2 linked regions of the Kluyveromyces lactis genome follow. The protein of the gene in region 1 interacts with the protein of each later gene in a pairwise test. Links are inferred from orthologs where the notes say so. Each region holds a gene or a part of one and is shown in the gene's direction. Other genes may lie near its edges.

Region 1 (7,415 bases):
TATGTCTTTCAAGATGACAATGAAATGGAAGTTGTTTTGTCTCGATGCGTCGATCAAAACAGTGTTAGAATCGGCTTCGGATGATCCGTCTTTCCCAGTAACCTCGCAGGCCAGAATGCTGACAAAAAGATCGCTTACTTTACTCACTGGGTTACTGGTTCTTCTCGATTGTTTCTTAGCAGTCTCCCACGTCTTGATTGCATTGTCAAGGTTGGCCAAGCATAATTTTTCACCGTCAACGGCTTTACCTTGGAAAAGGTTCAAGTTAACGTTATCATCCACTTTCCTGCCGTGATCCCATTCATCAGCAAATATTCTTATTCCACCTTGCACCTGTTGCGATAGTAATCTTTCGAATTGGTCTTCCACCTGATACGTAATCGTTTCCTCGTTCAAATTGTGTAAATCATGAACCAAATGAATTCTGATCACTTCATCCGTTTCACCAATGACAATCTTAGTCAATTGTGAAGTAAGCCCAGAAATGACATGAGACCCCTGCAATGCCGTTAATCTGGCCCCTATGTCGTTTATTTTCAAGTTGCCCTCTTGAGTAGCTATCTTCTCTTTCAATTGATTGGCTTGTTCTGTGGTCTTGTTCCAGAAACTGGATACTGTAGCAGAACCGCTAGATGACCACCAATTGGAAATTGACGCCAGTGGGTCCTGAACTGCCTCTTCACCTTCTTCTGCCACATGTTCTTCTTTTCCTTTCTGTTCACTCGGTTTCTCTTTACTGGCTGTCTCTTCTACAGGTTTCTCGTTCGATTCTGGCTTCTCCTCCGGTTTCTCTTTCTCTTGCTTCTTAGAGGATTGTGGCTTGTCCTTTTTGGACGGTTTCTTCTTAATATCCAGGTTACTATTTTCCAATTCGTCTAAGAATTCCATAATATCCTCATCCTGGCCGCCGTTCCCACTAACCTTACCCTTTCCCTTAGTGTTATTAGCAGTACTGGCTGGTAAAGAGTCTAAAAACTCTAGCACATCATCGGCATCACTAGTCATTTGGTGTTTTCTTTTTAAGTCTTTACTGTCGATAAAACTTGAATATTGATACGAATTGTTCAATCAAGAATCGATATATTCAAACTAGAAAATTATCGCTGAAAGGCAAGACAAAACTCCAACGGTTGAACTTAAACTAGCCTCCTAATCCTTGTGAACACAAGTATATAGTTTCTATCCTTTCTCTATTGTCATGGTTCCAACTACCGTGTGTTTTTTTCATGTATTGGTCCATTCTAAGGGTGGGTCGTATTTAAATATCCGGGTAACTATGTCACTTTCATTACCATGAAATAACGCTGGTATACATAAAGTGAGCAGTTAGCCGAAATGTAATGAGCACCGTGGCCTTTATCACCACCTATTCTTACCCCTTCCATAGATGGTGCTCTCCAGTACCAATGTCGGCATGTCTTGGCTTAAATCTTAGCATTTTTCATTAACTAATACCGTATCTATTTTGTACTGCCGTTTCTTTTCTAAAATTTTTCATCTCATCTCATCGCGAATCTGTTGAAAAGTTAATGCATCTCCATACCATGTACTTGATCCCCCGTTACTATTCACCTGTGCTAGCTATCTTGTTACTTGTTACTCTTAGTACTGGCTAGTATTCCTGGAACTACAAGTTAACGGTTAATCACAGTACTAAAATTCGAGATGCCATCTAAGAACTCCATTAACAGGCCAAAGCAAAAGGTTAACTTGAACCGTAAGGTTCATCAACGTGCTGCCAAGAGAGATGCTATGGAAAAGAAGGGTTTATTGGCACCAGCAAGATCTTCAGGAACATCTAAATCTGGTCAGTTGAAGAGTATACCATTGGATCTTTACAAAGGCGAGCATTCGACCTCTGGTGCTCTTACGACCAAGACTCTTTCGAAGAAAAGAGCAAAGAAGATCGAACGTAACTTGAAATACGTGGAACAAAGAAAACTATTAGTTGATCTACAATCTCAAAGTGAGGAAAACGGTGGTATGCAGATTGATGCGCCTGTTGTGAAGAAGGAGAAGGAAACCAAGAAAGGACAATTGGAAAAGATGAGAGAGGCTATTTCCACGGTGTTGGAAGATATTCAATCTCAAGGTTTATCCCTTCAGACAGGTTCTGGTACAACTCTAGGTGGTCAGTATTTCTTGTAGAGAGTCTTAAAAATCGTTAAATGGGGTTTGCATTGTCTATATAAACATTTTGTATACTAGGATAGATCTTAAACGGATCGTTCATTAAATATTATTCTGACATAAAAAAGAGTGCGTATATGTACTTAGGTACTTACTACTTTTCGTATAAACCTTTGGTCACTAATGCATCATTGACCTTGGTTTTCATAAATCCAATGACATCTGCTGGGTCGTGCGCGCGGAACACAGAGGTACCGGCAACAATGACATTGGCACCTGCCTCGGCAGCAAGTTCGACATTCTGTTTACCAAGACCACCATCGACTTGAATGTTCAAATTAGGAAATCTAGTTCTCAAGTCCTTCACTTTGCTCATCATATCGGCCATGAATTTTTGGCCACCGAAACCCGGTTCGACAGTCATTACAAGAGCCATATCCAGGGATGGTGCCAACTCGTACAACACATCCACAGGGGTACCTGGCTTCACAGAACAGGCAGCCTTCATACCATGCTTCTTAATTAGCTTAACCAACGCTACCGGGTCCTTTGTAGCCTCGTAATGGAATGTGAACTGATCGCAACCGATCCTAGCAAAATCTTCGACCCATCTTTCAGGTTCACTAACCATCATATGACAATCGAAGAATGCTCTTGGTAACTTGGTGTCTGGATCGTTGTACTTTCCGATAACTTTACGTAGCGATTCGACAACCGGTTGTCCCAATGACATATTAGGAACGAAGTGACCATCCATAATATCGATGTGTAACCAATCGGCACCAGAGTTAATCACATTGTGACATTCACAACCTAATTTAGTGAAATCACTGGCTAGAATAGATGGGGCAATAATAGCACGAACCATGTTAAAATTGAAACTTATTATAGTTTTGTAAACTGCTGACCTTAAACTCGAACAGGTAATGGTAAATCGTATTCTATAATGAGCAGAGCAGACCGTTAATTGGGTAGTTGGTTCTTGTTTGAAAAGAATTCCCTGCTGCTTTTTCTAATTTTATTGCATTCTTTATAAAACTGAAATTCTGATATCCAAAGAAAGCGACTATTGAGAGAAAGAAGAGGGGATCAGGATTACTTCAGAGTATTTTACAGCTCAAGATTCATTATATAATGTACCGTTGATATCAGGAGTGCTTTATTCCGAGTTTTTTTACCAGGAATTGGTACGATTTAGTCCTTTGAATTGGCATACGGTTGCAGTATTTGCATGCTTCCGTGATCTATTTTAATATGTAAGGAATATATAAGAAGAGCATTTTTTAGCCAGAAAATTTTCTTTCAGTAGGAAACGTAACAGCTTGGAACATCTGATCGTAGAGGTAGTGGGCTATTTGTGATACTTGGAGTGTTGCAGCAGGATATTTGAACTACATTAGCTGTATACATTTGAGTGTATTTGGCAAAATAGTAAGGATCACATCATAAAAATGTCCAACCCTATCAAGACATCGAGGTCGAGTAAGATCGATAATGCACCAACGCCTCATAACACACCAGCTAGCGTGCTTAAGGATTCATATTTAAGGAAGAAGCAACAGCAGCAGTCTGACCAGGATCAAGATCAGGATGACGATAGCGAATACAACGAGAGTCCATCTTTATCCCGGATCAATGAAAAGTTGGAGTTCTTGAACATAGACGAAGAAGATGAGGGTGAAGAAGAAGAAGAAGAGGAAGAGGAAGAAGGCGATGAAGAAGCTTTCGAAAGACTCCCAAAAGCTGTGAACAATAGGATCTTAGCCTTAAAGGCTATTCAGTCCGATTTGTTCGAATTGGAGAAGAATTTCCAGCTTGAAATGTTGGAACTTGAACAAAAATATCTGCAGAAATACAAACCATTACACGAACACCGTTACGAGTTGATCACAGGTGATAAGGAAGCCACTGAAGAAGAAATCAAACGCGGGGGATCTTTGGATGGTGAAGATGAGCATGAAGAAGAAGAGCATGACCAGGAACCGGAGGAAGGTGAGGAAGAGATCGTTGGTGTCCCTTGTTTCTGGTTGACAGCCATGGAGAACTTACCAATGGTTTCTCAAAACGTGACAGAAGCTGACTGTGATGTATTGACATACTTGACGAACATCACTCTAGAGTATCTAACTGAGGGTAAACCAGGCTTCCAATTGATTTTCACCTTCGATAAAGAGAACGAATTCTTCACTAACGAAACTTTAACAAAGACATACTACTACCAGTCCGAATTGGGTTACTCTGGCGACTTCATCTATGACCATGCAGAGGGTGAAACCATTAACTGGGTCGATAATGACCATAACGTTACAGTCGAAGTGAAAAGACGAAAACAAAAGAACAAGACTACTAAACAAATTCGTACCATTGAAAAGCTGACACCAGTGGAATCGTTCTTCAACTTCTTTGACCCACCAAAGTCTCTGGATCCCGAAGAAGAAGACGATCTTGACGAAGAAGAAATCGCTGAACTTGAGAGTAGATTGGCTGTAGATTATGCTATCGGTGAAGAGATCAAGGACAAGTTGATTCCAAGGGCAGTGGATTGGTTCACCGGTGCAGCACTAGAATTAGAATACGGCGATGAACAAGAAGAAGACGACGATGAATTTGACGATCAGGACGGTGAAGAAGAGGAAGAAGAGGACGACTTCGCTAATAAAGATGCTCTGAAGAAAGTCCAACCTCCAGAATGCGAGCAATCCTGAAAGAGATTTTTTTTTTCACATCCACCGATATATAGTAAGCAGTGGTTATCAAAAGTATTTACTCTCTATCTAAACATCACCCTAAGCTGTGGCCTTGCATCAATCTACTCAACGCATGTTCCAGATACGGACGGTGCCTGGCATGCATACAATTTGTGCGCGGTTTTCCACCTGTTCTTATTTTAAGCAGGTGGAAATATATGGCCATAAGGTCTGGACATGCACATCATGTGGTGTCAAAGTCAAACGGAAGTAACGGTCTAACGGTCTGAACCCCTGAAGGCCCCGTTACCAGTAAGAAAAATGGGCTGAAAAGGCACAACTAAGAGCCCTAAAGACAGCAAAAGTGTATAGCAAAAAGAACTACGAGCAGATTACGAATGAAAGTACATAGGGAGCAAGTCTGTTTATTGCTTACTTTTTGGGTAATAGCAAGGAATGGTGACAAGACTACTGGCAAGGCACGAAATAATCCGTGGATCTAGAAACATATCTGATCTACATATTCCTTCCGGATTAACATGGCAATGTTAATCGCAGTTGAAACACCAACTACGTTAGCCCACTGTATCCTTCAGTTTCGTTTTGGTTTCTATCTCTGCCTCTTTTTCTGCATTGAATTCAAATTAAGGAAAACTTGTGATAATGTTTTAGAGACTGACTATAAATAAAAGGCATTGCTTTGAGTTTCAAAGGGATACGAACCTATTACATATAAATATATATTTATATCAGTTTATTAAGTTTGTAGAACTGCAAAGTACTTTTAAAGGCGAAATAGAGTTGTGCAGTTGTTGTAAACCAGGGAAATCTATCGTTTTTATCCATTAGAACCAAATACAGTACAAAGATCCTTTAAAAATGACAGGCCCAGTTAAAAAGCAAAGGTCCCGCTCCTCTTCTTCAGTTAGACTTGTTGTTGATAAACCATCTACTGATAAATTTGCTACACAGTATGCTACTATCAATCATTTGAACAAGTATCCGACGTTGATAAAGTGGCTTAATGCCTTGTTGAGCTTGTCTTTGGTGTCAAATATAATTTCTACCATTTCCCTAATTTTGTTCCAGTTCAGGATCAAAGTCATCGAGTCTCCAAAGACCCCAACGTTCGTGAAAAGATCGTTCAACAGATCAGTTGCCATTGTCAAGAAGTTGGACGAATTCATCAACACCTTGGTGTTCAGAGAAGGTATTGATACGTTCGTTGAAGAATACCATGACCATGGGAAGTTAGGTGTATGGGTGGCATATTTCGTAGTAGACTATACTGCTAATGTGGTGAACTATACAGTGAAAGAATTGATTTTGAGACCCTTGTCTTTAATCAAGGATGAGACGCATCCATCTTCTAGTGGGAAATCTGTTGACTTGCCCCATTTCAAGGAGTTGGGAAACACTACCAAGGATGTATTGGAGCCTACTAAAGAGAAATTTGTTGCCAGGTATGATAATCTGGTGAAGCCAGCTAAGGATGGTTATGAACAAGCCATTTCCACGGCAAAGGAAACATATTCAACTGCCTACAAGACTGTTTCCGATAAATACGACACGAACTTCAAGGAAACTGAATCCGTTCCTAGAGCTATCTTGACTACAGGGTCAGATTTGGGTTCATTGACCATTGAAAAATTGAAGAAGTACAACGGTGTCGGTGATGAGTCAAATACAACTGTCGACACAGAAACCTCCGTCAAAGGTTTGAAAGGTCTCTCTACCTGAAACCAGAAGCAACTTCTGCGTTTGTTTGTGCTTTTTTTTTTTTCACTGCCAAGACCATTCTTAAATGTCATTTATGCAACCAAGTGGTTCCAAGAAGCTAGTTTGTTGCTTTTTCCCTCGGCCTCTATCACTATGTATGGATAATAGATAAGGATACGATGCAAACTATGATATCGACTAAGCAGCAGGAGAAACACCAAGCTTTAAAATATTCAAGAACTCTGTATGGCTGGCTCTGTACGTTATATTTTACAAACTAATCAAGACTATTATATTCTATTATATTATACCCCACGTCCTCTTTTATATAACCCTTTTGGCAATGCAGAACCTTTGAGTTTCGACCAGATATATTTATGTACAGCTAGTATAAATTAAATATCCTTAATGAGGTTTGTGCTATTATTACAGCAAAGAGAGAGAAGACTCAGAATTTGAAGCTTTGACGTTGTAAACGGTATCGTAGAAAGAGCGACTGGTTTTTATCGAGTAAACAATGGGTATTAAGGAGAATCGTGACGTTCATATTTCTAATTTAAGGCTAAAGGCCTTGGCTGTGGTGACAGTTTTGTTGTTTTTATGTGGTTTGCATTTATCCAGATGGTCAAGGACCTTGAAAGATAATCAGACTGCAAGTGAACCATTGTGTCCAAACGCACCAAATTTGAAACCGCCTTCATACATCAATGATAACTCGACCTTGGAAATGATCACACACGATGTCGAATATCGTAGCGATGCCGTTGAGAAACTATTAGGATCCGTTAGAATTCCTACTGAATCGTATGATTCTCATCTAGATCCTATTGAATTTCCTAAGGTATATGAAAACTTCACAGTGTTACATGACTATTTCCG
Region 2 (4,719 bases), on another chromosome or scaffold:
TTTGTGTCTGATAAATGAATTTACAGTAGTGATGAAAAATTTGTGTAAATAATTCACGCGTATATAACACCAGAGGTTGATAAACTCCATCGTTTAGATGACTTCACCAAGAACGAGAAAAGCCATACCCCGACCAGTCGTAACCACCAGCAATACAGACGAAAGATGTTCAAAAAGATTAGAGATAAGATTCATCCAACATACAATCCTGAGGGCATCACGTGGACCAGACGCAAGTCTGGTCCACAAGTGGTAGCCGAAGTACCAGTTGTTGTCGACAAGAAAACTGGACAGAACGGCAAGGCCAAGAGCAAGAGCAAGGATAAAGCTGCCGGTGCACTACCTTGTCATGACAGATACACAGAAGAGCTCGATGTCGAGCTCGTTGTGAAACAGCTCAGTTTGGAAGACGAACTGAAATTGGTACATGATGTAGCGATGGAATCCATCGTTGCGTCTGACATTTCATCACCGTCGTCTTCATCGACAACAACGGCTTCCTCTGACAAAAATGCTAAACACGTGACATCCAAAGCTTCGTCTACCGTTCCGCCCCACAAACAAATTACCGGCAATAACGCCGCCCCATCACGTCGGGTAACAAGTATGTATACAATTTTCAATTTGGAACTTTTTTTCCGACCCCCTTTCCCTATCGGCACCCTTTGCTCCATTTGTCCTTGATCCCTGCCTAGGTGGCCCCTGAGTGGCTTCCCTGCTTGGTTTCCTGGATGTGATCGGACTAACGGAGAAGTACTCACGAACTTCCACTTTTCCCTGGCATCCGGTTCCAGGAAAAACTATACTATTTGAACAAGCAATCTTCTTCCTATTAAGTAATACTACGAAGGGGCAAACTGTTCAGTAGTCTGGCTAGTCAGTTCCTAGATTATTCTGTCAGACAAAACACTTTTCTTGCTTTCTACGCATATACAAGGGAAGGCTCTCAACCCAGTCATGCTTTCAGGCAAAAAAAAAAAAACTATTTCGATTTCTCTCTCCTTCAATTTTCCAGTAAGCTGATTCGATACAATAAATGTCTGGACTAACAAAGCAATTTGCAAGCAGTTTTAGTTTACTCTTTCCGCTTAGTATTTATTGTCTGAATAAAACTTTGAGAAAGACATGAGGACATTGGAAAATTTTTCATTGAGCCAGACAAGAAAGACGATAAAACTGTTGTTTTTAACCTGATTCTCTCCCCCCCGCATAATATTTTGAATCGGTGTGCGCGTGTGTTTGTGAGTGCGTGTGCTGAATATTTTATTTTACTGGTCTTAGAAGACGTTGCGTGTTTGAAGTTTTTGGAAAATTTGGTGAAATTTAAGGTAAAAAAAAAAGAACACCAAGAACAAGACTTCGCATATAACAATTAACACACACAGACAGATCAATCACTTCTTATCTGTTGTGAGAGAGAAAGGATTCAGAGAAAAGTGTGCATGTCAGCATAGTTTTAGTACAATACTCCTTTTTTTTTTTGAATGAAAGTTGGTGAATTGCTCGAAAGTAGCGGTGCCGGTGGTTCAAGATCTATTATTGCATATACTAACGATAAAAACGCTGGTTTTGAGACAGAGATGGATTCCATTTTACCCAGTGATGATTTAAAACAAGGCAGTCTTCATAGTAAGAACAGTCATGGTAATGATGTTAAAATCGTTCCAGATGAAGACGAAGTAATAACCCGAAGGACTGTGGTGAAAGGCCATTCCAACCCCGAGGAGTCAGTTGTTATTTCATGCGGCACACCTGAAATTGTGGGAAATGGTTCGTTTGGTGTCGTTTTCAGAACAAAAGTGAAAGAGACTGGGGAGGATGTTGTCATTAAGAAGGTTCTACAGGATAGACGGTTTAAGAATAGAGAACTGGAGATCATGAAATTGATCAGTCATCCGAATTTGATCGATTTGAAGTACTATTTCCTTGAACAATCGGACCAAGAACTTTATCTAAATTTGATTGTAGATTACATGCCCATGTCTCTTTATCAACGGCTCAAAGAGTTCATTTCCTTGCATCAACCAATGGATCGTTACGAAATCAAGATTTACATGTTCCAATTGTTCAAATCTTTAAACTATTTGCATCAAGTGGTCAATGTCTGCCATAGAGACATCAAACCACAGAATATTTTGGTGGATCCAGATACTTTACTGTTGAAAATCTGTGATTTGGGGTCTGCTAAACAGTTGAAACCAAACGAGCCCAATGTGTCATATATTTGCTCCCGTTACTACAGAGCCCCAGAGTTGATCTTTGGTGCTACCAATTACACAACAAAGATTGATATTTGGTCTGCAGGTTGTGTTATGGCTGAACTGCTATTAGGACAACCCATTTTCCCTGGTGAATCTAAGATCGATCAATTGGTTGAAATTATTAAAGTTTTGGGTACACCAACCAGGGAAGAGATCTGTTCCATGAATGAAAACTACTCCGAACATAAGTTCCCTCAGATCAGACCGATCCCATTGAATAGGATCTTCAAGAAGGAAACACAGGAAACTATAGACTTATTATACCATATCATGAAATATGATCCTAATATCAGATACAGCGCTTTACAATGTATGTTCAATTCGACGTACTTCACTGATATCGTCAGCAACACCGGGTCGGACTCAAACCTTTCGTTGATCGATTCTTTACCATTGCTACATTTTGAGGAAAGTGAATTACAAGGGTTGTCATCTAACGATATATATAGATTGACTGGCAAACTGATATAGAACCGACAAGACAAAAGGAAAACTAAAAACAAAAAAAAAGACTAGTTGAGAGAAGGAAATATGCAAATACAAATGCATTAATGTAACGTTCTACCCAGCACATCCAAAGAAAATGAAATTAATACACGAAATTAATGTGCATACAAATAGTTACTTCTCATATGCCTACTTGTTGCAGGCAACACCGTTGTTCAATGCTATCCTACGCTCCCCCCCTTTGCATATCATATTTCTCTTCAATTTTAAAGTTCATTTCAATGTCTTTCGGAAAACCTATAGTTCTATCCTGTCCCTAATAGTGTTCATATTGGGCAGTGGATTCTTTTTATTTATGTTAAGCATTCCCTATTCCTCACTAGGAAAAGGGCACTTGGACATCATAATTCTTCCTTTTATAGCAATACTTTTCTTTCTAGCTTCCGTCCTACCTTTTTCATACCGGATTTCACCTTGTCAGTTCATAATAATATCAATACTCACCTATTAAGAGCCACATGACGTGCGTGCGATTGAGTACTTAAAAACTACTGTTACCTTTTGTCCATCGTGTAACTTTGCATTTTCTTTGTCACATTTTCCTGTACAAGAACTAACTTGACAAAATTGATTTTCCTTGAAGAGAAGTCGAATTAAAAGTTTAACAGGAATATACTGGGACGGACAAAAAGATGGAAACCAAGACCCTGATACACTCAGGGGCTGCTAAGGAGATGAGCTATACTGAGAGGTATAATGTCGCACCGCTAATACCTTTGCCTGAGTATCTTTTTCATAGATTATTTCAGCTCAACTGCCGTACTGTGTTTGGAGTTGCCAATTATTCAACTGCGAAACTATATCAAGCCATAGCAGCCAGCGGGATACAGTGGATCCAAACGATAAATCAATTGAACACATCATTTGCAGTAGATGCATACGGGAGAGCTATCGGAGTGAGCTGCTACGTCACTAGCGAATCTGCAGAATTAGGCCATGTTAATGGTTTTTTTGGATCATTTTGTGAATATGTTCCCATCTTACAGGTAGTCGTCTTGGAACAGTCTCATGATCTTGAGAGGTTGATTGGAGATGTTTCAATCTTTCATGACGTAGTGGATGATCCTTCTGAGATAGACAGTTGTGTACGAACGCTTTTTTGGGGGAAACGCCCTGTTTATATGGGCCTCCGATCGAAGGATGCCACGAAACTTGTCCCCAGTAGTTCTCTAAACGGAAACATAGCAGATAAGATGGGCATAAAGAACACTTTCTTTCAAACGGACACAATAAAGAGGGTTATAGACAAAATCATTGCCGAAGTTTACGCTTCATCAAGGCCATTGATCGTGGTTGATGCATTAATTGATAGATATAATTACAACAGCACAATACAAAATTTCCTAACGGAAACAGGAATACCATTTGTGACAACCTTAATGTCAAAAGGTTCTATTGACGAAAGCTTACCCAACTTTGTTGGGACTTTCTTAGGTACCATGTCACAGCCCATTGTTCGAGAATATATGAATAATGCAGATTGTACGTTAATTTTAGGATGTATGATCGAAAACTTCAAAAACTCGTACTGTAGATTCAACTACAAGAGTAAAAACCAAATCTTACTTTGGAATGATAGAGTTAAAATTGAAAATAATATAATACCTGATATTTTACTTCATGAACTACTCCCACAGCTAATAGCGTCATTAGATACTACCAAAATAGTAAACTCTCGTCCAGTAACAATACCGAATATGATACCCAGAGTAGAACCGCAACCGGTGACATTTTTGCGACAGGAGTACCTTTGGTTTAAGATGTCTACATGGCTAAAACAAGGTGACGTTATTATTTCTGAATCTGGTACCTCAGCTATTGGTCTCCTACAACAAAAATTCCCAGATAATACTAGGCTAGTATCCCAAGCAATTTGGAATTCATCTGGTTATTCTATCGGTGCATGCCTTGGAATTTTGGCAGCATATCGCGATATGGGGACATTGGATAA

The links.
Region 2: the proteins of NAP1 (region 1) and KLLA0_F17006g interact in binary tests that used the Saccharomyces cerevisiae proteins (3 or more experiments, as listed by UniProt). The link is inferred for Kluyveromyces lactis from reciprocal best matches to the Saccharomyces cerevisiae genes NAP1 and RIM11.

The regions. Positions count from the first base shown.
Region 1 is NC_006041.1:1,340,663-1,348,077, reverse strand, and holds NAP1 (histone chaperone NAP1), read left to right. Parts: upstream 1-3,581; coding exon 3,582-4,835; downstream 4,836-7,415. Other genes in the region: DUF5427 domain-containing protein MTC1, read right to left, coding at 1-1,005; ALB1 (Alb1p), read left to right, coding at 1,666-2,148; ribulose-phosphate 3-epimerase RPE1, read right to left, coding at 2,285-2,998; PLN1 (Pln1p), read left to right, coding at 5,697-6,557; KLLA0_E15005g (M20 family metallopeptidase), read left to right, coding at 7,054-7,415. UniProt on the Saccharomyces cerevisiae protein: Acidic protein, which assembles histones into an octamer (in vitro). Involved in the regulation of the localization and the function of the septins during mitosis. Involved in the function of B-type cyclins.
Region 2 is NC_006042.1:1,559,872-1,564,590, reverse strand, and holds KLLA0_F17006g (serine/threonine protein kinase RIM11), read left to right. Parts: upstream 1-1,484; coding exon 1,485-2,732; downstream 2,733-4,719. Other genes in the region: KLLA0_F17028g (uncharacterized protein), read left to right, coding at 166-684; KLLA0_F16962g (uncharacterized protein), read left to right, coding at 3,401-4,719. UniProt on the Saccharomyces cerevisiae protein: Serine/threonine protein kinase that is thought to function in regulating kinetochore activity and entry into meiosis. Could phosphorylate IME1.